Arabidopsis thaliana: one gene and its partners. The protein of the gene in region 4 purifies or fractionates together with the protein of the main gene of each other region. This does not show direct contact. Each region holds a gene or a part of one and is shown on either strand. Other genes may lie near its edges.

Evidence for each region.
Region 1: the proteins of RRP41L (region 4) and IMPA-5 fractionate together in Arabidopsis thaliana (co-fractionation; one large-scale study listed by BioGRID). This does not show direct contact.
Region 2: the proteins of RRP41L (region 4) and AT4G32175 fractionate together in Arabidopsis thaliana (co-fractionation; one large-scale study listed by BioGRID). This does not show direct contact.
Region 3: the proteins of RRP41L (region 4) and AT1G60080 fractionate together in Arabidopsis thaliana (co-fractionation; one large-scale study listed by BioGRID). This does not show direct contact.

Annotation. Positions count from the first base shown.
Region 1 is NC_003076.8:19,991,065-19,997,260, forward strand, and holds IMPA-5 (importin alpha), read right to left. Parts: upstream 3,609-6,196; 5' UTR 3,453-3,608; coding exon 3,246-3,452; intron 3,120-3,245; coding exon 3,026-3,119; intron 2,925-3,025; coding exon 2,833-2,924; intron 2,761-2,832; coding exon 2,629-2,760; intron 2,548-2,628; coding exon 2,362-2,547; intron 2,293-2,361; coding exon 2,129-2,292; intron 2,043-2,128; coding exon 1,964-2,042; intron 1,744-1,963; coding exon 1,615-1,743; intron 1,511-1,614; coding exon 1,383-1,510; intron 1,301-1,382; coding exon 952-1,300; 3' UTR 882-951; downstream 1-881. Other genes in the region: AT5G49320 (transmembrane protein, putative (DUF1218)), read right to left, coding at 4,019-4,400, 4,574-4,800, 4,986-5,150. UniProt on the Arabidopsis thaliana protein: Binds to conventional NLS motifs and mediates nuclear protein import across the nuclear envelope.
Region 2 is NC_003075.7:15,533,561-15,538,973, forward strand, and holds AT4G32175 (PNAS-3-like protein), read left to right. Parts: upstream 1-1,873; 5' UTR 1,874-1,994; coding exon 1,995-2,045; intron 2,046-2,128; coding exon 2,129-2,203; intron 2,204-2,339; coding exon 2,340-2,426; intron 2,427-2,801; coding exon 2,802-2,858; intron 2,859-3,239; coding exon 3,240-3,332; intron 3,333-3,442; coding exon 3,443-3,515; intron 3,516-3,599; coding exon 3,600-3,675; intron 3,676-3,763; coding exon 3,764-3,977; 3' UTR 3,978-4,042; downstream 4,043-5,413. Other genes in the region: CYP96A2 (cytochrome P450, family 96, subfamily A, polypeptide 2), read left to right, coding at 212-1,732; PANK2 (pantothenate kinase 2), read right to left, coding at 4,164-4,256, 4,341-4,412, 4,512-4,706, 4,786-4,869, 4,997-5,155, 5,249-5,395.
Region 3 is NC_003070.9:22,151,359-22,157,231, forward strand, and holds AT1G60080 (3'-5'-exoribonuclease family protein), read right to left. Parts: upstream 3,286-5,873; 5' UTR 3,088-3,285; intron 2,995-3,087; 5' UTR 2,982-2,994; coding exon 2,822-2,981; intron 2,738-2,821; coding exon 2,688-2,737; intron 2,608-2,687; coding exon 2,538-2,607; intron 2,459-2,537; coding exon 2,353-2,458; intron 2,258-2,352; coding exon 2,191-2,257; intron 2,052-2,190; coding exon 1,976-2,051; intron 1,709-1,975; coding exon 1,401-1,708; intron 1,319-1,400; coding exon 1,247-1,318; 3' UTR 872-1,246; downstream 1-871. Other genes in the region: BGLU4 (beta glucosidase 4), read left to right, coding at 4,224-4,352, 4,428-4,491, 4,576-4,625, 4,706-4,781, 4,859-4,930, 5,015-5,102, 5,182-5,434, 5,504-5,619 and 1 more.
Region 4 is NC_003075.7:13,737,414-13,743,004, forward strand, and holds RRP41L (3'-5'-exoribonuclease family protein), read left to right. Parts: upstream 1-2,334; 5' UTR 2,335-2,422; exon of another isoform or gene 2,423-2,532; 5' UTR 2,533-2,547; coding exon 2,548-2,686; intron 2,687-2,758; exon of another isoform or gene 2,759-2,817; coding exon of another isoform or gene 2,818-2,830; coding exon 2,831-2,909; intron 2,910-3,002; coding exon 3,003-3,105; intron 3,106-3,178; coding exon 3,179-3,299; intron 3,300-3,456; coding exon 3,457-3,545; coding exon of another isoform or gene 3,546-3,614; exon of another isoform or gene 3,615-3,736; coding exon 3,737-3,886; intron 3,887-4,144; coding exon 4,145-4,234; 3' UTR 4,235-4,485; downstream 4,486-5,591. Other genes in the region: AT4G27480 (Core-2/I-branching beta-1,6-N-acetylglucosaminyltransferase family protein), read right to left, coding at 1-98, 175-250, 331-904. UniProt on the Arabidopsis thaliana protein: Non-catalytic component of the RNA exosome complex which has 3'->5' exoribonuclease activity and participates in a multitude of cellular RNA processing, maturation and degradation events.

The DNA of each region.
Region 1 (6,196 bases), on a different chromosome or scaffold from region 4:
CGTGTTGGTTAGGATCATCGGATCATTGCCAATCTCGAATTACCCCCCAAATCGGAGTGAAATTAGGGTTTATATGTCTAATCACCTTAGCACCACCATGACGAAGACCACGATCAGCACAATTCTTCTTGTGGTTTCTCTGTTCGATCATAACTTGAGCTCTTGCTTTCATGGTTTCTGAATTGACCAAGAAGATCTGAAACAAACACAGAAGCAGATCATCATCATTTCCAACAGTTCATCTTCGATCACCCGAATCAGAATCAGATCATTTTATCTTCTCACTGTGGTCTAGCATTCTCTATTTTCAATCCAGATGAATTGTTTAGGGTTTTTGATCGAAGCTTAAGAAAAAATAGCAGAGACGAGAATGAAGAAGAGTTAACAACGAGCGAAGAAATAATAAAGCATCTCTGCACCTTCTTACTTGAGCTTGTTATCGAATTCATCTAAATTCTCAAAGTGGCGACCAAATTCGATGATTCAATTTCTCCATGGAAACGAAACACAAAGTGGTTTCGGAATATATGGGCCTTTTACGTTATACCAAAGCCCATAGCATAAGAGCCCATCCATTTCGAAAGAAAAAAAAAAAAACAAATCCGTCCCGCGTCAAAAAAACTGAATCCATCTTTAAAGTTTGACCGTTAGTTCGGTAAACAAATAATTTAACCCTTTCTTAATTTTGACCGTTAGTTCGGTAAATTTGAGTAAAATTTTTTCCTAAAAGACAAAACAATGTGGATTCCAACAGGAAGTGGAACTTGGTTCTCTAACAGGAAGTGGAACTTGATTCCAATATGATGAGTAGCTGTTAGAGAACCAAGTTCCACTTCCTGTTGGAATCCACATTGTTTTGTCTTTTAGGACCATCATATTATGTGCATGCTTTTGGTTCAATATGACAGCTATTTCTTTACATCAAAATCTAATATCAGATTATGTGGGATCTTAACGAGAAAAATCAAACTGGAATTCCGGATGAGAACAACCATCACCACCTTCATCTTCCTCTTCAACTAACCTTCCATCTTCCTCTACAAGCCCGTATGTTTGCAGAATCTTCACAGCCTTCTCGTAGATCTCATTGTTGCCATGGTGCTGCAAGTTCTCAATCTTTTCTAGCCCTTCTGCATCTTCAATCATTTGAGAGTAACAGTTCACGTCTCTTAGGTTCTTGTCCACCTCTCCAGCAATCAAAATCATTTCCAGTCCACCTAGAGACACTAAGATGATTCTTAGATCTGGACAAACCAGGATGTCACATAAAGCTTTTATGCAATTCTGCTCCACCAAGTATCTGATACACACCAATGGATATTGTGAATATAGATGATCAATAAGCATGAAAAAAGTGATAAAGAAAGAAGACAGGGATGTACTTGATTTGATTAGGAGAACCACCCACGGAAGCATTTGAAATTGCCCATATAGCTTCTTTCTTTATGTCAAATTCAGCATGTTGTGCCAGATTGACCAACGATGGAATCAAATTTGCATCAATAACCGACTGTTATCATCATCAATGCAAGAAAGACAAATAGAAAATATTTAGTGATAGCAACGTAAATTGTTCAAGTTCTGCAACAGTAACAATCACAAACTCATGCTCACCTGAATTTGTTCTTCTAAACCGGCAGTGATGTTTGAAATCGTCCAGCAAGCTTCCCTCCTTATGCCTCTCATATGGTTTTGAGTAAGCAGGTCAGCAAGAACGGGTAAAACACCACAATTGATCACACACTGAAAAATAAGTTCAAAGAGTTATTTGGTTACAAAATCTAATCTCAACACAGTACTCAAGCAACATATAAATGAAGTGTTCTCCAGGATATAATCATCCAAGATACAGGATTACAAATTAAGCTTTTGATAGTGCTATTGCTTTGAAAAACAATAAATTCACACGGTGTACAAGAGACGTGTTCTTGAAGGCTCCATCAAAGGAATATGAATTACATACGTGAGTCTGCTGACTATTTCCAGAAACTATATTCCCAATGCAACGAAGTGCAGGAACAAGTACAACTGGAGAAGCGTGTCTGCAAAAGAAAAAAATGGCGAGCCTTCATTATCCAAACATGTATCAAACGGTTAAATTTTTTAATATTTGGAGAGAAGTACTAACTGGAGAAGTTCAACTAGTCTTGGGACAACACCCGCCTCGATCACACTTTGGATATTTTCATTTGAAGCATCAGACAGATTCGAAAGCGCCCAGCAAGCATCTATCAAGACTTGTTCATCATCCGAATAAACAAGTCTTTTAAGTACAGGGAGAACATGTTTCACCTATAAATCATGTTTCATAAGTTTAAGTATTGCACCTATAAAACTGAGGAAATAGAGAAGTAAGAATACCAGGTCAAAGGGTGGTGAAGGCTTGCCACGGAAGAAGTTTGATAAAGTCCAAGTCGCATTTCTAAGTATCGACAATGTAGCATGGTTATTCAGCTGATGCAACAGTGGAATAAATGCCCCAGAGTTAAGAACAAAGTCACGGCACTGTATTGAATCACCAGCAACATTACCCAGTCCCCATATAGCCTGCAAATTAAGTGTAACATCAAACTCTTCAAAATTTGAACTCACATATTTAACCATTCATACTCAGAAGAAGCACTATACCTGCTCACGGACATCATCATCAGGGGAAGCAAGAAGCTGAACAAAGAGTGGCACAACACCGTGATCAATCACTACCTTGGTATGCTCAGATGCGCCAGAAGCAATGTTTGTTAAAGCCCAAGCAGCCTCAAACTATAAAAAAGATCAAAGAATTCAGAACCAAAGATTACACTAATCATCAAAGATGGGAACTTTAAGTCTAACCTGAAGCTTAGGGTTATCATCCTTCTTAAGAAACTCTACAAAACGTGGCACAACTCCAGATTTTATCACATTATCAGTAGGTGGACTTCTATCTGAACAATATATAAAACCACAAGACTTTAAGAAACCATTCAAGTAAATATAAGTTCGTATCTTTTTCAACTCAAGATCAAAGAAAAGTAAAGAGTTTTACCGAATGATAGAACCACCCTGAACCGAGTTGTGTACTCAAGCTGCAATGAAGGATCATCCGAGAAAACCCCAGTGATCATATTCGCTATCTCCAACTACAACCATCACCAGAGAGGATCTAATTTAATTACCCAATTCGAAAGCATTCGAGTATAATGATAAAGGTCGTATCTTTCAAAACCTAGGTTTCACTAATCCAAAACCAAAGATCAAACTTTTACCAAACTCTCAAAGGGGTCGTTGGAAATCAACTTGTAATCAGGAGGCAAAACTTTTACACGACGTTTCTTCATCAAATTTTCGTTGCGTTTACTCTTGCGAATCTCGACTAAAAAGTCTTCTCTTCTTCTGCGTCCTTCTTCCGCATCTACAGAGACTTTGTAACGGATTCGACGGATCTCTGTCTTCGTGCTCGGTCGCAAGGACATAGCTTTCTCGATTCTTCGACCTCTCTAAATCAATTCACAAAATCGAAGCGAAACCCTAGAAATTTGAACTGAATGGGATTTGCAAAGTGAAGAAGAGAATGCAAGAGTGGTGAAGATGAAGAAGAAGCGACAACAGTTTCAATTTGAAGAAGCGGGAGGGTTTTCTAATTATCGTTTTTAATTGTTAACCGTATTTATACAGTAGATTGAATCATAAATCATTGATAATCTAAATTTAAGATAAAGTTTACAATCATATTATTAAGAGCTCCAAATTGAAATAATTAGTCAATAATTATTATAAGCTAAAATACTTGAATCTAAACCGAACTAAACCGTGAAGTTGGTTTAGTTACTCGTTACCGACGATAAAAAGAACCATATTTGCAGAGTTTACTCGTTAGATGTGTAGTGTTTTCTCCGGCGAAGGAAAACCTACTTTTCCGGTAAAGTTCATGTATTGATTGGAAAAAGTAGGTTTTGGTTTGTGATTTTGAATTGCTTATGTAAGAAGTAAAAACATTGTTTTTTCTCATATGATTATGTTAACTACTATACATTGTACACTATACTATATGTGCAAGTTGCTTTAAAGAAACAAGATATTCCAAAGACGTCGATTCATCTCTAACAGTAGCAAGACCTTCTCGAGCAACCGTAGCCATCCGATTTGTAGGCGATCTTGGAGGAGATGCATAAAGAACTGATGCCTCGATGATCTCTCTATGTGTGTTTTCAAGATCCTTAGAGATTCGATGTGCTTGAAGAGCGGTTAGGTAAAGTCCCGTGGCTAGAAAGACGGTTATAAGTGAGAACACTCCGGCCGCTGAAAACAAGCCTTGCCGGATTACTAGACAACTAGGTTTTGGTTTAGACCAGTTCTTTAGATGTCCTGATTCCACACTAAGTGCAACCAACAGTAGAACCTCTCCAACACCAAAGCAAACCCTTATAGGAACAAAAAAGAATAATATAATCACAAAATTATCATTAACTTAAGCTATGGTCAGTAACATAAATATGTCATTTCACGATTGCTTATAGTTAGGATTTTTTTATTTTTATTTTATTTTTTATAACTACATGACATTAATTCGTTGCGTTAGAATAAGTCTACGTACCATGTTGAGACGAAGAAGAAGGCAGCTTGAAAAGTGAGCCTCTTCGCAGGAACAGAGTCAGGATCCCACTCAACCAGAACCAGAGACGGCGATGTGGTGACTGCGATAAGTAAGTACATGTGGAAGCCCACCATCGCCACCGCTAGTCCCACAAACGCAATCGCACCACACAACAACGGCGTTTTCCCGCTACCATTATACACGCATGTTTTGCTTCCCCATGTCGCCTATTGCAAATGATTGACAACATATTAATGGCAATGATATAACTTATACTAAATACTATTATAATCGAACGATATGGTAATTAATATAAAACATGAATCAATATAGATTTCTGATTTATTTTGAAAATATAAATGATGAAAACATATGAGAGAAAGTTTATATACATCCCTGTATAGTAATGTACCTGAGATCTTGTGGCTTCGGCATAGAGGCAGAGAACAAAGCAGGAGAGGCCAAAGATTATTGTCAAAACAGCGATGAAAATACCGGTTTTGCTGCTGAGATCTGTGGTTTTAGGGTTTGGAACAAGATCTTGATGGGTCACAGCTCGCACTCTTGTTCTCGACATGTCTCTCGTCAATTTCTAATAGATAGGAATCGAAGTTACATGTTTTGAGAGTTATTATACTTTGATTTGTTTTACATATATGAGAGGCATTGAAAGTGGGAAGAAAAGAATAAACTGGAGTATATTTGATAAATAAATGAAAAAGGAGAGGAGGATAGAAGAATTGCTTCAGCCAAAGGTTGCTTAAAGGCCAAGATTCGCAGGTTCTCTTTCGGATGTCTTTTTAGAAATACTATACTGTTTTCGTATAGTGTCTATTAAACGATGATGTGTAAAATATATAATGTGACGAGAGTTCGTTAATGGAGTTAGTTGGATGATTCTTTTCATATATTACACGTGTATAAGAACATTCTTTTCTTCTTTTTATTTTGTGTTCATACAAAGAACATCGTACCTTTTATTATCTTGAAAGTAAATAAAGATAAAGATAAAAAGATAAGGTGATGAACTTTGTTCGTGAGTCGTGAGTGACTGAGTGTTGTCTTATTTCTATATACTATTTATTAGCATAATCATGTGAGGGCGTGTAATTTTTAATAGGAAGCCAAAAGCCTTCCACACCCCACCATAAATAACCAATAGAGAAGCGGTTTCTGATACTCCATTTCAAAAGCAAAGACATATAGTGACAGAAAAAACGAGCTCGTGTCACTGATATCTTTAGCTTCGAATTGGATCAACACTACTTGTCAAGTTGTCATCACCTTAATGTTAGTGTCTCGCCGATGTTGTGTTTGCCGTTGTGATAGTATATATTTTTATTGTTGCCGACACTGGTCGCATCGGTTTTGAAAAGAACATGGTTGTGTATTAAGTACTCATCACTCATGTGGTATTTTCATGACAAAGTTTGTGATGTCGTCACTCGTCGTAAGAATTTTGAATTTAATGTACCTAAATTGTGCTATATGAGTTATGAAAGTTGAGGTTACCATCGCCAAAGCTCGAAATTATGATGTGAAAATATTGGGTTTAAAATTTTACTTATACTCAAAGTCCATGGTATAAGCACCTTAAGGCATATATAGATTAGGATCTTTGAC
Region 2 (5,413 bases), 1.8 Mb from region 4:
CAAAAATAAAAAGTTAGGTGTCATTGGCAATTTAATACAAGTTTCTAATTTGATGATATACATGCATTAAACGTGCTTTGCAGTTTGTGCATATAACGAAATTTAGTGTGTATTTTAAAAAGCATCTCCTTACTTGTGCCCTGAAGTGTATGCTTATAAATTTAGTTCTCATTGTGTCAGCAAACTGTGTGTTATCAATTGCCTTACTCCAATGGCTTCAATAAGCTTACTTCAAGTTTCCGTAGCTATCCTTTGCTTTCTCATCCTTCATTACTTTCTCTTCAAGAAACCTCATGGCCGGTACCCTAGGAACTGGCCGGTTCTCCGGATGCTACCCGCTATGCTCAAGGCGCTTCACCGAATCTACGACTACAGCGTGAAGATTCTCGAAACCTCTGACTTGACCTTTCCATTCAAAGGACCGCGGTTCACAGGAATGGATATGTTGCTCACGGTTGATCCAGCTAACATTCATCATATAATGAGCTCAAATTTCTCAAACTACATCAAAGGACCGGAGTTCCAAGATGTTTTTGATGTGTTAGGAGACAGTTTCATCACCACGGACTCGGAGCTATGGAAGAATATGAGGAAATCTTATCAAGCCATGCTCCATAGTCAAGAGTTTCAAAGGTTTTCAATGAGTACCATGACAAGTAAACTCAAGTACGGTCTTGTTCCCCTTCTTAATCATTTTGCTGAGGAAGGAACAACTCTTGACTTGCAAAGCGTCTTCGGGAGGTTCACTTTCGATACAATTTTCATCCTTGTAACTGGTTCTGATCCTAGATCTCTCTCCATTGAAATGCCTGAAGACGAATTTGCTAAAGCTCTCGACGATGTTGGAGAAGGGATTCTTTATAGGCATTTTAAACCAAGGTTCTTGTGGAAGCTGCAAAACTGGATAGGATTCGGACAAGAGAAGAAGCTCACTGAAGCTAATGCAACTTTTGACCGCGTGTGTGCCAAATACATATCAGCCAAGAGAGAAGAGATTAAAAGATCACAAGGGACTTCCAATGGAGGAAGTCAGGATCTTTTAACTTCCTTCATAAAGCTAGACACGACCAAGTACAAGCTCTTGAATCCGAGTGACGATAAGTTCCTTAGAGACAACATCTTAGCTTTCATTCTAGCGGGAAGAGACACAACAGCCACCGCTCTCTCTTGGTTCTTCTGGCTTCTCTCTGAAAATCCACATGTGGTAGCCAAGATTCATCAAGAGATCAACATCAACACTGATCTATCAAGAACAGGAAATAGCCAAGAGAATGTAGACAAGTTGGTGTATTTACATGGTGCGTTGTGTGAAGCAATGAGACTCTACCCACCAGTTTCCTTCGGACGCAAGTCTCCAATCAAATCAGATGTGCTTCCAAGTGGCCATAAAGTTGATGCAAACTCTAAGATTATTATCTGTCTTTATGCATTGGGGAGGATGCGAGCGGTTTGGGGAGAAGATGCATCGCAGTTCAAGCCAGAGAGATGGATTTCGGAGAATGGAGGCATAAAACATGAGCCTTCCTTCAAGTTTTTGTCGTTTAATGCCGGTCCAAGAACTTGTCTAGGTAAACATCTAGCTATGACTCAAATGAAGATAGTGGCAGTGGAGATATTACGAAACTACGACATTAAGGTTCTCCAAGGACAGAAGATTGTGCCAGCTCTTGGTTTTATATTGTCAATGAAACATGGTCTTCAAATCACTGTTACTAAGAGATGTTCTGCTTGAAATTATTCATGTATTAAATAAAAAAATCATTTTGGTTTGGTTTTGATTTGGTTCTTAGTTTTTTTTTTTAGTTTTACGGTTTAAGTAAACCGAAATCCTAATATTGACTGGTTCGGTATAGTTTTGGTTCAAAATTTGCGTGCAAAAAAAAGAAGAGACTGTGCAGTGTTGTTCCTTTCTGGGTTCTCATCGTCGTCAAGGAACAAGCTTTAACAGAGTTTAACATATATTAGGGTTCTTATCTCCAAAACCCACCTCACTCATGGCTGCCAAAGTTTCTGTCTCTCCCACAAGCCTCTTAAATCAGATTGTGGTCCGTATATCTCTAAAAAGTTGGCTTTTTTATGATTTCGATTCGATTTGGTTACAATGAAGCATGGTGTTTTCAATTTTTAGGTTCCAGGTGATGTTGTTCTTGATTTGTCAAACATGAATAACCAAACAATCAAGCTCGGAAGTGGCCTTCTTCAGGTTTCATCTTCTTCTCTTTCTTATGTGTTGTTTGAATCCTAACAATTATTCCAGTGGGCACTTGATTTGTGATATACAATTGCAACTAAAAAGGAATTGTAGATTGACATGTGTTTGTTTTTTTGGCTTATTTTAGGATAATGATGCTATCTCTGCCATGAGAGCTGGCAAATTAAGTTACTCCAAGCCTAATAAGTATTGGCTCGAAAGTTCTCATAAACGGGTGAGCTCAGTGGTCTTACTAATCTTCCCTTTCTGGTTGCTTCTCTATTGAGCTTCTTGTGGATTATAACTGTGTCATCTGCTCGGATACTAGGTCCACTTGATTAATCATGAGTAGAAAAGTAACAAATAACCTGGCACAATTGCATCATGAAGAATTGAAGATTTGCCTTTTGTAGCATTTTGACAATTTGATGCTTTTGTGGATCATTCTTGCTAGTTTTCTCCCTAGTTATTTGATCATATACATCTGGCTTGATAAGACAATTTACCATTTTTGGTTTTCAAAACTCTAGTAGAATATTGTTTTGTTAATTATCTATGTAAGTCTCGTTCTCTTTGTTGCTGACTCTGTTATTATGTTTTTTTTTTGCAGTATATACCTCGCCCTGATGATCATGTTCTTGGAATCGTGGTCGATTCTAGGGCAGATGTAAGTCCTTTGAAATCATTGCTTGTATAGATTCTTGTGTTGTTTTTGGATCCCTCTCAGACTGGTCATCTCTGAAAGCATTTTATTATACTTTAGTTGTCAAATACGATACAAATATATGTTTGTCAGTTTCCGCGACTTCAGTCCTCATTTCTCTGAGCCAATAAAGGTGAACTTGTTTGTTGATGGTCTTGGATCAGTAAATAAATAGGTGGGAGTATTGAAGTTATGGTCTAAAATCAGAAGAAAACTGATACCATTATTGGACAAACAAATGTTAATTGACTTTTAAATTATCAGCTGCAGTTAAGCTTTCTTGCATGAACTAACATCGCCTTAGTAAGTACTGAATTGTTTCTTTTACTCATCATGTCATTGCAGAATTTTTGGGTGGACATTAAAGGACCTCAATTAGCACTTTTGCCAGTTCTTGCATTCGAAGGAGGAACACGAAGAAATATTCCCAAGTTTGAGGCATGTACATTCTGATGACTCAGGAAGCTCTCTTGAATTCTCATTTGGGATATGACATTCTCTATGAATTGATTGTTTCTGGAATGTTCAAATTTTTGTGTACTAAACAGGTAGGCACTCTGCTTTATCTCCGGGTTGTCAAGACAAACATAGGAATGAATCCGGAGCTGTCTTGTACCGAGGGTAAGTTAAAAGCTTTGGAGGCTAAAACAGTGCTGCTTCTCTTAATCCCTTTTAAACTAATTGTCTCTTGTTTCTATGTATTAGCTAGTGGGAAAGCTGCATTATTTGGACCCTTGAGAGATGGTTTCATGTTTGAAACTTCAACTGGTCTTTCAAGAATGTGAGATATACTTCCTCATAAAAAATGTCTCCTTATACTTTATCTATCTTCTTTCGCCATTACAACTTTACTTTCTCATCTCTTATAGGCTGTTGAATTCACCAACGCGCCCGGTCATTGAGGCTCTTGGAAAGAAACTCTCGTTCGAGATAGCTGTGGGCTTAAATGGCAGAGTTTGGGTAAATGCGACAGCTCCACGTATAGTCATTATCGTGGCCAATGCAATAATGAACTCGGAATCTCTAAGTGGGACTCAGCAGAGAATCATGGTTGAGAAATTGCTCGCGATAATTTCAGACTAAACGTTATTGTTCTTGAAATGTAACTGAACCCTCATGATGCTCTTTATAGCAAGTGATTTTGATTCATTCAAATACAATTTTATACAGTAAAAGTGTAGTCTAAATAAAAATACATATGCCACATGACGAATGCTTAATCTGTATACAACAGTAGTCTAAAGGTTGAAGAAATGATACATAACATTGTTAAAGCGAGGGAGGCTCGTATCTGCATACACAATCATATATGTTTCCTTTTATCAACTTCTCAGCCAATCTCTGATTTTTAACCATTGCTAGCTGCCAAAAAGGAAGAGAAGGTTTCAGCCAAAAGTTTCAATAACAGTTCTAGAGCTGAAATTTTCTGTCAAGTGAGGTTTAAACCTTGAGAGCCTCGCATTGGAATTGAGCGTTGAAGTTGGTGTGAAGTGCTCTTCCCATACCTTCCAAGACAACCTGCAATATTGTTAAACATCAAATAAAGAACAAAGCTTCTCTTTTTTGATGTGTTTGAAGTTTATGTCAGGTAGAAAACAGAGAAGGTTTTGTAGATACAAGATCAGCGTCTTTGGCAGCGGCTGCAAGCTCAGAGCTGACTTGTCTGAGGTCGATACAAGGACTTCCACATCCATTTTCAACAACCATCAATGGTGCTGACGTTGAATCCTTCTTTGATCCATCCCCTGGATTTACCATCGCATCCACAAGTAAGCCTCCCATTTCTGCCGCTCTCCTCAAGATGTCACAGTGCTTCAAGAGTAAAGACCGAACAAAAGAGTTAGTTACATGAAAGAACATCATAAACACTGCACAGAATCGAAAGTTAAACCTTAGCAGCCCCAGCGACTATATCAGGCAGTTCCATAGCGGTCACGTCGTTAAGAGCAGGAAGAGAGTTTGCCACTAGAACAACCTGGGGAATCATAATAACATTTTGTTTAGTGTTTCCTCAACTAATTTCACAATGAAATCATTTGGTCTGTGCATTTGATTTTGTGAAGAGAAGATTACTATAGGAAGAGCTAGAGAGAGACACGTACTTCAGTCCCTCGACGGAGAAACTCTCGAGCAAGAGGAAGCATCCCAAGAATGACATCTGCTCCCGAGTTATCAACAAAAAGTAATGCTCTTTTATGTCGATGAGGCTGCTTACCTCCAGATCCAAGCATCCTTTCTTTGAAAGCATCAAAATCGTCTACCTGATTTTACGGACCAAAAAAGATTTCCAGCTTCAAATTAACAGTTAGGAAAAAGTAACCTCAGCGGGGAAAAAGGGTGGTCTTGTCTCTCACCCTCCACGGTCTCTGCATCTTGTTGCGACTCATTCTGTATATTTCAATAATGGTTCCTTTGTGATATAGATCCACACATGCTCGAGATCCCCAGTCAAATATGTTTGCAGCAAGAACACCTTCTATAAGTGTAAGCAACCTTGCCTCCTGAAAAATCCGAGCACA
Region 3 (5,873 bases), on a different chromosome or scaffold from region 4:
AGACAACATGTTACCTTACCAAAAGTCGCATTTGAATGTAGCTCTTTAGGATATGATCCGGTCGAGGGTAAGTATAAAGTCTTGTGCATCTCATGCTCTAGATACCAAGATCCTCTTGTTTTTACTTTGGGACCTCAAGAATCATGGAGAGTGACACAAAATACCCCTAAACATGTCCCTCTATCCGCCGAGGGACTAATACAAAGTATATGTATCAACGGGGAAGTGTATTATGAAGCGAGTATACCTTTTGGAGTCGATGATAGTTCTGAAGTTGAGAAAGTCCTTATGAGCTTCGATGTGAGGTACGAAAAGTTCAACACAATAAGAAAATCAGCGGCTGATAATTTACTTTGCAAATTTTTCCTCAACTACGAAGGAAAATTTGCATGGGTTTGCTCTGACGACGTCTCTGGTAAATGATTTTGGGTTTTGGAGGATGAAGAGAAACAAGAACGGTCACTTAGAAAATTTCCTCAACGTGACCCGATCTGGAAAGTTTCTTGGGGGCTGAGAGGTATTACTCATGATCCACTGGTGAGTTTATTTATACAGCTGCAACAACATCTGAAGCAATTTATGTCTTATATTATGATCCAAAAAGAACCCTAGTAAGGAGGGTCAAATATGATTATATGAAGGAATTGGTGACGAAGAATTCTGGAAGCTTAATCATAAAAATGTAAGAGAGGTCCGCTATTATCATAATCACACTGAGAGTCTCATGTCTTTGGAGGAAGTTCCTCGCTTAGCATATGATTCTTCCACAGATTCAGAATGATTTTATGTTATTTAGTATTTAATTAGTCTCTCGAGGACTTTCCTCGTCTAGTATGGAATATTTCTTTCACAGATTCAGAATGGTTCTTGTTACAATGCCTCTTTTAAATGGAATAATATTTTAACATACCCTTACATTATAACATAAAAAAATTCAGAAAAGCCTAATCAAAAACAAACTTGCGATGGTGGTCAACAAACAAACTTGTTAATTGCTTTTGATTTGAACATTTGTAAAATTAATCAGCTTACGCACATTTCGGTTCGTTTGAAATGGAGATAATATAATCTCACACTTACACTAGCACTAAATTAAAGTCGTTATATGACAAACAAAACCGTAACACAATCGAACAAAAATGGTGAAGAGCTTCTTCCTTTGCCTCTAAATGGGTAACTTGGTGATCTGATTAAAATATGTAACACAAAATTTCAACAATGTTATGGAATCGTTCCATCTGATAAATTAGTCGATATCCATCTCTCCCAATATCTGCTTAAGCTCCTTTGCTCTCTTCCTTGCTAACTCGACACAGCTCTGCGCATAGCAACTTTATAAGAAACAAAAAACGGTGTAAATCAAGTGGTGGATTAACCTAAGAGAAAGCTAAAACTCTCACCTTGATGGCTGATGAATAGGCGAGAGCAGCTCCTCCTGATTTGTAGAAAGAAACCATTTGATCCGAGGAATCCAAAACAACAGTCACAAGAGTGTCCATGATCGATTCTTCTTCGGTTGTTGGATCTGCTAAGATGTAGTTCTTGTGAAGTATGCAAGTTAAAGAGAAAGGAATGTTCTTAAGCGTAAGTTTTCTCTTCTCCTTGTTCACTGCTTCTTTCTCGGTGATCAAAGCATTGTCTTGATCTTTTTCTCCAGTGACGGCAACTATTCTTCCATTGTCATTCAGAGCAACAATTGGAATTTGCACTGCAATATAAAAGATATTTTATGCATCAGAGGAAAAATTCTTCTGTCTCGGAACACCAATCACACAACTTCTGAACAAACCGCTATTGTGCAGGGAAGAATATTACTCAGGTATGACTCACTCAGCAAGATTTAAGTGTTCTCTAAGGCTTGCTCTTTTTACTCATATTCGAAATGGATTTGATAAACTTGAGAATCAGCTTTATTCAAAGGTTCTCTAAAGGAGCTGTGAAACCAACTAAAGGATGAGAACAGAGAAGAACTTACGATTGGAGAAGGCTGCGACAGCAGCAAGCAGAGCAGCATCAAAGAGAGCACCATCAGCATCCAGGCAATATATGTCCTATGAGAAATTTCAGAGAGCAACAATGTTCATATATATGCTAGAGAACTCAGTTAAATATCAAAGAGAAAGATCCCTAGAAGAATAGATGTGAATCAACTGACGGACAAGCACCGATATAAGACCAACGAGTACTCACCAGATAACCCATCCAAGCAGCTTTTCCACTAACTAGACACAGTTCTTTAAGATCAATCATACCAGAACTAGAACAAAAAAGAAACACTTTTAGAAGGAACATTGTATTTGATGCTCAATGAGACAGAGAAAATATAAAGAGAAAGATCAAACCAAAACACACCTTAAAATAGTATCAGACAAACGCTTTGAAATAACGGGAGCAGCTTCGGCTGGTCTTCCAGGACGAACAGTCGGAGAACAAATTGGAGGCATATGGAACTCAATAGCTACCAAAAAGGAATCACAAAATGAATCACCAAAGAAGAACAACAAACCACATAGAGAACAAGACAACGAGATAACAACCTATGCATCCTTCGTCTGGAGAGTCCGTAGAAGGAGTCATAACTTCCATTCTAATAGCAGCAAGCATAGTCTATAAACACGAAACAACTATGTAAGCAAAACATTGCTGATCATGTGAATACTATCGAAACGACTAAGGCGGGTTCTTACAGTGGAACCAATCTTAGCAAGAGCAGACCCATCAGCAGTTGAAACAAGTCCTACAACAAACACAAGAAACCACTATAAAGTTGACATTTTTAATTTGATAAAAACTAAAAAGAATCAATCTTCATTGTTTATACCAAGATTAACAATGGTGTCTCTAGCTTTTCCAAGTTGTCTTCCATCAGGACGAAGAGATTCAGAGAGATGACGCTCAAAGAAACGAAGAGGGAAGATTCTTCTAAAAGCATCAACTTCCATCTCTGTCGACAAGTCTTGAGCTGCATCTGGTATTCCCATGTTTTCTTTAGCTCTGCTTCATGTCACAAAGATAAAGAGAATCATAAACCAAAAGTCTCTGAGTCTGTGCTTCATCAACACAGTCTCAAGGAATCACAAAGCTTACCTTGGGACAAAAGAAAGAACTGCCTTTGGTACACGAAACTGTTGTAGTGAAGAGGAAACACAAGCAATAGAGTGTAAGAAGAAGATTGAGAGCTCGCGGTGTCGTAAGTAATGGGGATTTCGACGGAGACGGTGACGGTGACGACGGCTAGGTTTATCTGAGTTTTTAACTAAAGTACTTCTTCATTCTAAATGGGCCCCAAACAAAGCCCAATAATGTTGCGAAGCCCAAAGAAATGCGAAATAAGAGATTTGTTTGCTTCACAAGACATGAGTATATTGAAATTTGGGTTTTCAATTAGATGAATTTGGCGAAAATATGAGGCGCACTTGATTATGAGCTGAATTTGGGAAAATGTTTAGTGTAAATTGTAAAATATGAAGAAGAAGAAATGGCGTCAAAATGAACATTATACATTCTTGTTTTATATCCAATTTTGTTAATCCTCCATACATTACTTAATGGTGTTTAATTATAAGTTAAGAAATTTCTCTTTTACTATATATATCGTTATAAGTATTCGTAGAAAATTTCAATTCAAAACATCGTTATAAGTATTCGTATATTGAAATTTGCAACAATCAACAGAAAAACTTATCGTTATTCCGTTTTTTTCACATCTATTTTAAAATTTTAAGATAATGTATGTTTAATATTTTATGCTTTGTAATAATTATTAAGTTTTATGAAATAAAATATTTTTTTCTTTATAAGAGGACCAAATATTTTTACTTTAATACCTCAAAAGTTATTATATCATAGTCCATACTATTAACAAAAATTTAGGAATACCCAAAAAAAATTGAAATGTAACAAAAAGTCCAAAAATATTTTTTTGGCCCAAAAGCCCTCATATATGTGGGGCTGGGGCTGCATAGCCGCATGGTTTTCCGGTCCCCTAGTTTCTTTCGTTATTTGGGTTGGTCAGACCTGGGCTCCGATCCAGCGTAATCTGTTTCTTATCATAGTAAATAAAGACCATAATTCATTTCAACACACTTCCCAATATGTTTCTTATCTAAATTGCATCATCATTAATGTCTACGTCACAACTATATCTAGCGGGTACGCAAATGGCTACTGGACTTACTTATTCTAACATGGAACGAAGAAAAGAGTGTGTGTGTGTGTGAGAAATGGAACAGATTTTGGCTCTGTTTGCCATTTTTCTTGCTTTTGCTTTCTCCGGGAAATGCAGCGACGTTTTCAGCAGATCTGACTACCCTGAGGGATTCGTCTTTGGAGCCGGCACTTCTGCTTATCAGGTTTGGAACCAATTTATGAGCTTCTTTTTTCTTAACTTTTGAACAAAACTGAACCAAATGTTTGGTCTCTACTAGTGGGAAGGAGCTGCTGCAGAAGACGGAAGGAAACCTAGCCTGTGGGACACTCTTTGTCACTCTCGTAAGCTTTTCATTTTAACACAAACTATTATTAGTATTAGAGTTTGTCACTCTTGTGCTTTGATTCTTGTTTCTAACATTGCAGGTGACCAAGGTAACGGAGATATAGCATGTGATGGGTATCACAAGTACAAGGTTCTTTAGCTTCTCTGTTTCTCTGACTACATCATGAGGTTTTATTCATCAAGCCTGAGTTTCATTATGAATTTATACAGGATGATGTGAAGTTGATGGTGGACACTAACTTAGATGCTTTCAGATTCTCCATCTCTTGGTCTAGGCTAATACCTAGTAAGTTTTCTTAAACATGTTATAGCTCAGTGAAGGGATCAAATTTATGATCAGTTCGTAATTTATTATCTGATTAGATGGAAGAGGGCCTGTTAACCAAAAGGGTCTACAGTTCTACAAGAACCTCATCCAAGAGTTAGTAAGCCACGGTAAGACCTATCTTCATATCCACGGTAGGACTCAAGAGTTAGGTTTAGTTCGTATTAACTAGAGTTTAAGTAGACTTACTACAGGAATTGAACCACATGTTACACTCTACCACTATGATCATCCTCAGTCTCTGGAGGATGAATATGGAGGATGGCTCAACCACAGAATGATGTAGGCGTTACTTATTTTCTCTTACAGATTTTGTAGTTTAAGATAAAATAACAAAAGTTGATGTTATTTGCCATTGCAGCAAAGACTTTACTACTTATGCAGATGTTTGCTTCAGAGAGTTTGGGAACCATGTCAAACTATGGACCACGATCAACGAGGCTAATATATTCTCTATAGGAGGTTACAACGATGGGGATACACCGCCTGGTCGTTGTTCCAAACCGAGCAAAAACTGTTCTTCAGGGAACTCTTCCATTGAACCATATATTGTAGGCCATAATTTGTTGCTTGCGCACGCCTCTGTTTCAAGACGATACAAACAAAAATACAAGGTATATATTACATAACCCTCTCTTGAATGTGTGAGAAGAAACACACTATAAAGTATATATAATATGCAGGATAAGCAGGGAGGTTCCATAGGATTTAGCTTATTCATATTAGGGCTTATTCCTACTACAAGCTCCAAGGATGATGCCACTGCAACCCAAAGAGCCCAAGATTTCTACGTCGGCTGGTGAGTCAGGCACAAACTGTTCCAAAATATTGTTCAACATATCTCAATAAAAAAGATTTACTCTTTAAAACTCAGGTTCCTTAGACCTCTTTTATTTGGAGACTATCCTGATACAATGAAAAGAACCATTGGATCAAGACTGCCAGTTTTCTCTGAGAAAGAATCAGAACAAGTTAAAGGCTCATGTGACTTTGTAGGAGTCATACACTATCATGCGGCTTCTGTCACTAACATCAAATCCAAACCTTCTCTGT
Region 4 (5,591 bases):
CAGTTGGCATTGTTCTGCGAGGTGTAACCCAGAAGACATCTGACTTCTTTGTGGAGTAAAGCCCCGGGTCTATGATCAGCGGCTTTGCTCGTTTTTCTCTGCGAAAAAACCGCATTTGGATGAAAACAGAACTAAAAATGTCTCAAATGTACTATACAGAGAAATAATCATTACTCTTTCCAGCCTAGTTTGCTACTGTGGTCGATAAAGTTGAGGTTCCGGTCCAGTCCCGAGAATGTATCAATCAGATCTGCAAGCAAGGGGCATTGATAATCCGGGCAGAGATTATTTGAAACGAAGAAAGAGAGACTAGATACATAACTATATTACCATCTTGAGTGACTAGAGGATAATCCGAGGCACTGAGATTGATGAACCAATCCCATTCTTTACTCTGCTTCAAGAGAATAGCGCAAGCGTGGAGCGTGTTAGCCACCATTGTGGGTCCTCGATACGTAACAAGGTTAGCCTTTGTGATCATGTGAACATTTCCAACATCGCTAAAAACAGGATCTTGGCTCACACGTTTAGCCAGCTCAAGCCTCTCTTCAGCAGGAGACTCGAGATCAAGATGAACAACGTACTGATTCCTAGGATGGTATAATGTTCGTAACACTCTCCACAGACTCTCTAAGTCACCTCTTGACCCTGAAACTAGATAACCAAAGCGAGGAAGACTAGGCTGTACTGGAGGAGGATGCGAGGACTGATTGATCTTTGACTCTGCAAATTCGACTCGTGTCTCGTTGGTGGTCGATAGATTGTAGGAGAAGATGAGTGAGTTAATAGAACGGACAGAAGAGAGGAGACCCATGTTGAAGGATGCAGCTATAAGGAATATGAACATGAGAGAAGCCATTGCTAGAGGGAATATCCATCTCTTCTCTGAGTTTGAGGACGCCATTAAAGAGCCTTCTCATATGTGATCGATCTCAAAAACCAATGTTATGTCAACGAAAGAAGCCAACACTTTGATATTGTCGACGCATCAGAGAAGAAAGATCTTCACAAATCGAGGTAGCGCCTAACCTACGCCACAGTTGACACACAATCAGAAATCTATACATGTATTGATGAATATTGAATTCAAACAACGATCAAACACAGTTTCTGATCCTTGATTCCGATCATGCAAAGAGTAAAATAAAAAATTGATACAAGTCGAAAAATTGAAGAGGAAGAAAAACAGAGGATTTGATGAATCGTCGTGATCACAAAGTATGAGTATGAGCCGATCTTGTAATAATAAAAAAGATCGAAAAGAAAAATCTAGAGCTGTCTAAGGATAATGAAACCTACTTTACATGTTCCTATTCGTAAGAAATCAAATAACGTAAAAAAAATACCTGGTTCTTAAAATTTCATGGAGATGACGTGAGAATGTTTAAAGATCCGGGCAGTTCTTAACACAATCCACGAGGTTGTCTTTGTCTGAAACGAAGATTTGTTTAATTAAAGTGTCGGATTACGTACCTTTTTTTTTTTTTCTTTCTTTTCTATAGAAACTAGATAATGAAAGAAAGAAAGAAATCTGAGAGTTATGGTACTAGCCACTGGGCTTCGGTTTTTCCACAGAGATGTTTTCGTTTTAACTCACTTCCCAGAAAGAAACGGTGCCTTCTCCTTTGACTTTTTATCTGAGTCCTTTGATTTTTGATTTGTTGTGAGGTACTGGCGTATTAAATTGCATTAATTTCAATATACAGGCTAAAAAAACATAGGAGTACTTCTTATTCATTATTGGAGGATGTTACTACTGTATACTGGTGTGGACAAAACGTGTGATATGGACCGACGACGTTGATGATTGCATTTCGAATAAAATGAAAATGGAGGAAAGTGGCCTAGTAATGCGGAAAATGCCAAACATCGTATGATCGAGGCATAATGAAACCCATAATAATGTTTTTAAGAGGTGGCATTATGATGATTTAGCTTAATGGTTATGTGTCCTCATTTCAATCTTTGGGTTATACTTAATTTGTATTATTAGTTAATATATGTAAATATGTTTTCCTTAATGGTATTGGATTTATTATTAATGGTATGAATATGTAAAGAAGTATTTAGTGGAAAATATATTTTTCTATATCCCATTCACCTAAATTCCATTAATTGTCAAACATTTAGAGCTATTAGCTATAGTATTTTTATTTGATATCAACAACTCTATTTTTATTTGATTACTACACTTTTCTTTTTAATGTTAAGATTTATACCAAATATTTTAAAATGATTACAAAAGTAAAATCTTCTAGTAAATTGAAACTACGTAAATAAAAATGTTTATTACTTTAGTTACTTAAATATACAATTTCCCCCTTTTTTTTAATTATTTTTTGCTAAACCCTAAAAATCTTTTAACGGCGTTTATCGTTCTTCCACTCTCTCCGCCGCGTTCTCTGTCTCTCAAACCCTCAGGGTAACGATTCTTCTTATTAGACCAACTGTTGCTTCTTTCGCATCGTAGCTCTGAGATTGACCCATTGATTTCTCAACTCTTTCTCAGTAATCAGATTCGATTTTGTTTAGTCTCAGCTCAGAACAATGGCAGCTAAACCTGGAGCCGCAACTCCAACGTATTCACCTAAAATCGTCGGAAGAAGTCGGCTTCCTATATTCAAAGATTCCGACCTCGATTGGTCTCGTCCTGATGGCCGTGGCTTCCACCAATGCCGACCCGCATGTAAAAACACCTTTGATTCCTCTAAATTCTTAATCGTTAGGGTTCTTCATTGTGAAATTACGGTTGGATTCATATGACTCCAGTTATTTGTGAGACTAAACTAGATTTGAATTTTGTTTCTTTTGTGAAAAATGCTTCTTTCAGTACTTCAAACTGGTGCTGTGAGTTCTGCTTCTGGTTCTGCTTATGCTGAGTTTGGGAACACTAAAGTTATTGTTTCAGTGTGAGTATTATTAGATTAGAAAACTTGTATATTCAGGATTTGCATTAACTTTTCTGTCAGCTAAATTCGCTTTTGTGTGTTCAAAAATTTTAGATTTGGGCCAAGGGAGAGTAAGAAAGCAATGGTTTATAGTGATGTAGGTAGATTGAATTGTAATGTTAGCTATACAAATTTTGCTTCCCCTACTCTTGGCCAGGTAATCTCCAAATTTCGCAACATTTGGTGTTAACTTGTTTCATCAAATTTAGTAATACATTGTGGTATTTTAGGGAACTGATCACAAAGAATATTCATCAATGCTTCACAAAGCATTGGAAGGTGTAATAATGATGGAGACGTTTCCAAAAACAACCGTTGATGTTTTTGCATTGGTTCTTGAATCTGGAGGAAGTAAGTCTTAACAATAACTCGACTGCTATCAAAATTATTTTACCAGAATGTGATTGCTTATTGGTTCGCTTGGACATTCGTGGAGTTGATTATGGAAGCAACTTATTGGATTGTTGTTTGGCATTTTCTGATTTTCTCCAATGGTATTGTATTGCAGGTGACCTCTCTGTTTTGATATCATGTGCTAGTCTTGCTTTAGCTGATGCCGGAATTATGATGTATGACCTTATCACAGCTGTTTCAGTGGTATGTGTATGTTACAATAGTTGCATTGATTCCTCTGCGTTATCTCTTATGTTTATTAGCATTAAGTGAAGAAGAAAGTAACACATACATTGACATATACAAGTGCACCATAGTCTGAGACATGTAAAACGTATAGATATCTGTTAATTCTTTATTTTGATACACTGAAATTATGCCTGCAATTTTCGAAGTCTTGCATAGGCAAAAGCCTTATGATAGACCCGGTTACAGAGGAGGAAGGATGTGAAGATGGCAGCTTTATGATGACGTGCATGCCATCTCGTTATGAAATCACTCAGCTAACCATCACTGGTGAATGGACAACACCTAATATCAACGAGGTATGCCTTTCAATAATATCTCTTGTCCTTAATTTGCCGATGACGGTTAGAGACAAAAGGTCTTTCTTTTCTTAGTGTTGAATATTGATGTTATTCAACTGCTTTGTTTGTCTAAATCACATGGATATTGGTTAATTAGACTGTTCTTCATTTTCTTTTTAAGCTGTTCATACCATAGGGTCTATGTTGTTAACATATAATTGTGACATAGGAGCTGTGCAGACATGTTACCAAACATTTGTATTTCAAATATTGCAGGCAATGCAGCTTTGCTTGGATGCTAGTTCAAAACTTGGAGAGATCATGCGTGATTGTCTGAAACAGTCTGCCTCAGCTTCCGATGAATGAGCATAAATAACTATGATTTTGGATTGTAGCTCAGACTTGGTATGAAACCGGTTTTAGCTGTTATAGGTAAACGGATTTAGTCTAAACCTGTGTGTAGTTTAAACCGATGTATGTTTTCACATAAGATTTGATGGAACTAGATCTTTAGCTATGAAATGGATCCCAATTGCGAGTGGTATCAAAGACATACAGAATTTAAAGTAGGGAATTTCAACAAATCAATCACATTGTTCTTTACAATTTCAAAAAACTTGTGGATGATATTAATATCAGATTTTCTAAATTTATACGAAAATGGAATGATATTAAGAATAGTATACAGAAAAATGAAGAAAAGAGTAACTGATTTTTGCATCTTAAAAAAGAAAAAGTCTTCTCTGGTTCACACATCACACAAGTTGGGGGCGGTGATGAAGGAGGGTGTTTAGGTAATATCAGCTAACGTCGGAACTTCAACTGATCATGTAGTACGTACGATACGAAGAAGAAGAATCTAATCCGCATGACATGTGATTATTTTGGTCAGAGAGAGAAGAGAAGACGTGTGTCGCAGCAAAGTGGACAGTTGTGCCCTTATAGCCAAAGAAGACTTCACACGTTTTCAACACCACCTAACAACTGTTTCTTTCTATCTCCCACCTCTTCCCCATTTTTGTCTTTTTATTTCTTCTTCTAGTTTCTCCCAATTTTCTCTTTGATTTTTTTTTGTTTTTTCTTGTCTTCTTGTTAAGATTGATACATGAACTAATAGAGTAACTAGTAAATTCTAAGACCTTTCAGCATTCTTGAAATGACAATTACAAACACACGATAATTTGCGGGAACATGAATGATAGAAGACATTAGAAAAAAAAAACTCCAATGTATAAAAAGTTTATGAAAAATATAATAACATTTTTTACGAATTATTCAGTTTTCTGTAAATTTTTATTTATTTCGTAAATGCTTGTATCTAACATTTCAGCTAGATTGTTCTACTGATTAATTTCTATCTAACATTTTATGAACTTTATCATTTCAGTAACCGCAATGCCCGTGACCACTCTGCATATAAAAGTGTATGTCTTCTTCACATTCAATCACACGTACTTTCAAAATTCTACTAAAAATTAAATGTTTTTTTTTTATATAACTAATCAAAGATATCTAAAGTTTTTGAGTCAAAGTTATGCGTTACTCAAATAGAAAAAAACATTTAGAAACCTAAAATAATATCTGCTCCTCCTAAAACATTTAATAACATTCAAAAACAAGTCAATAAAAAAAAAAAAATTTACGAATAAAGCCCTTAATTAGTCAAAAATGAACGAACAAAACAAAGGTAGGAGAAAGTATGAATGGCCCAATCGGGGAGATT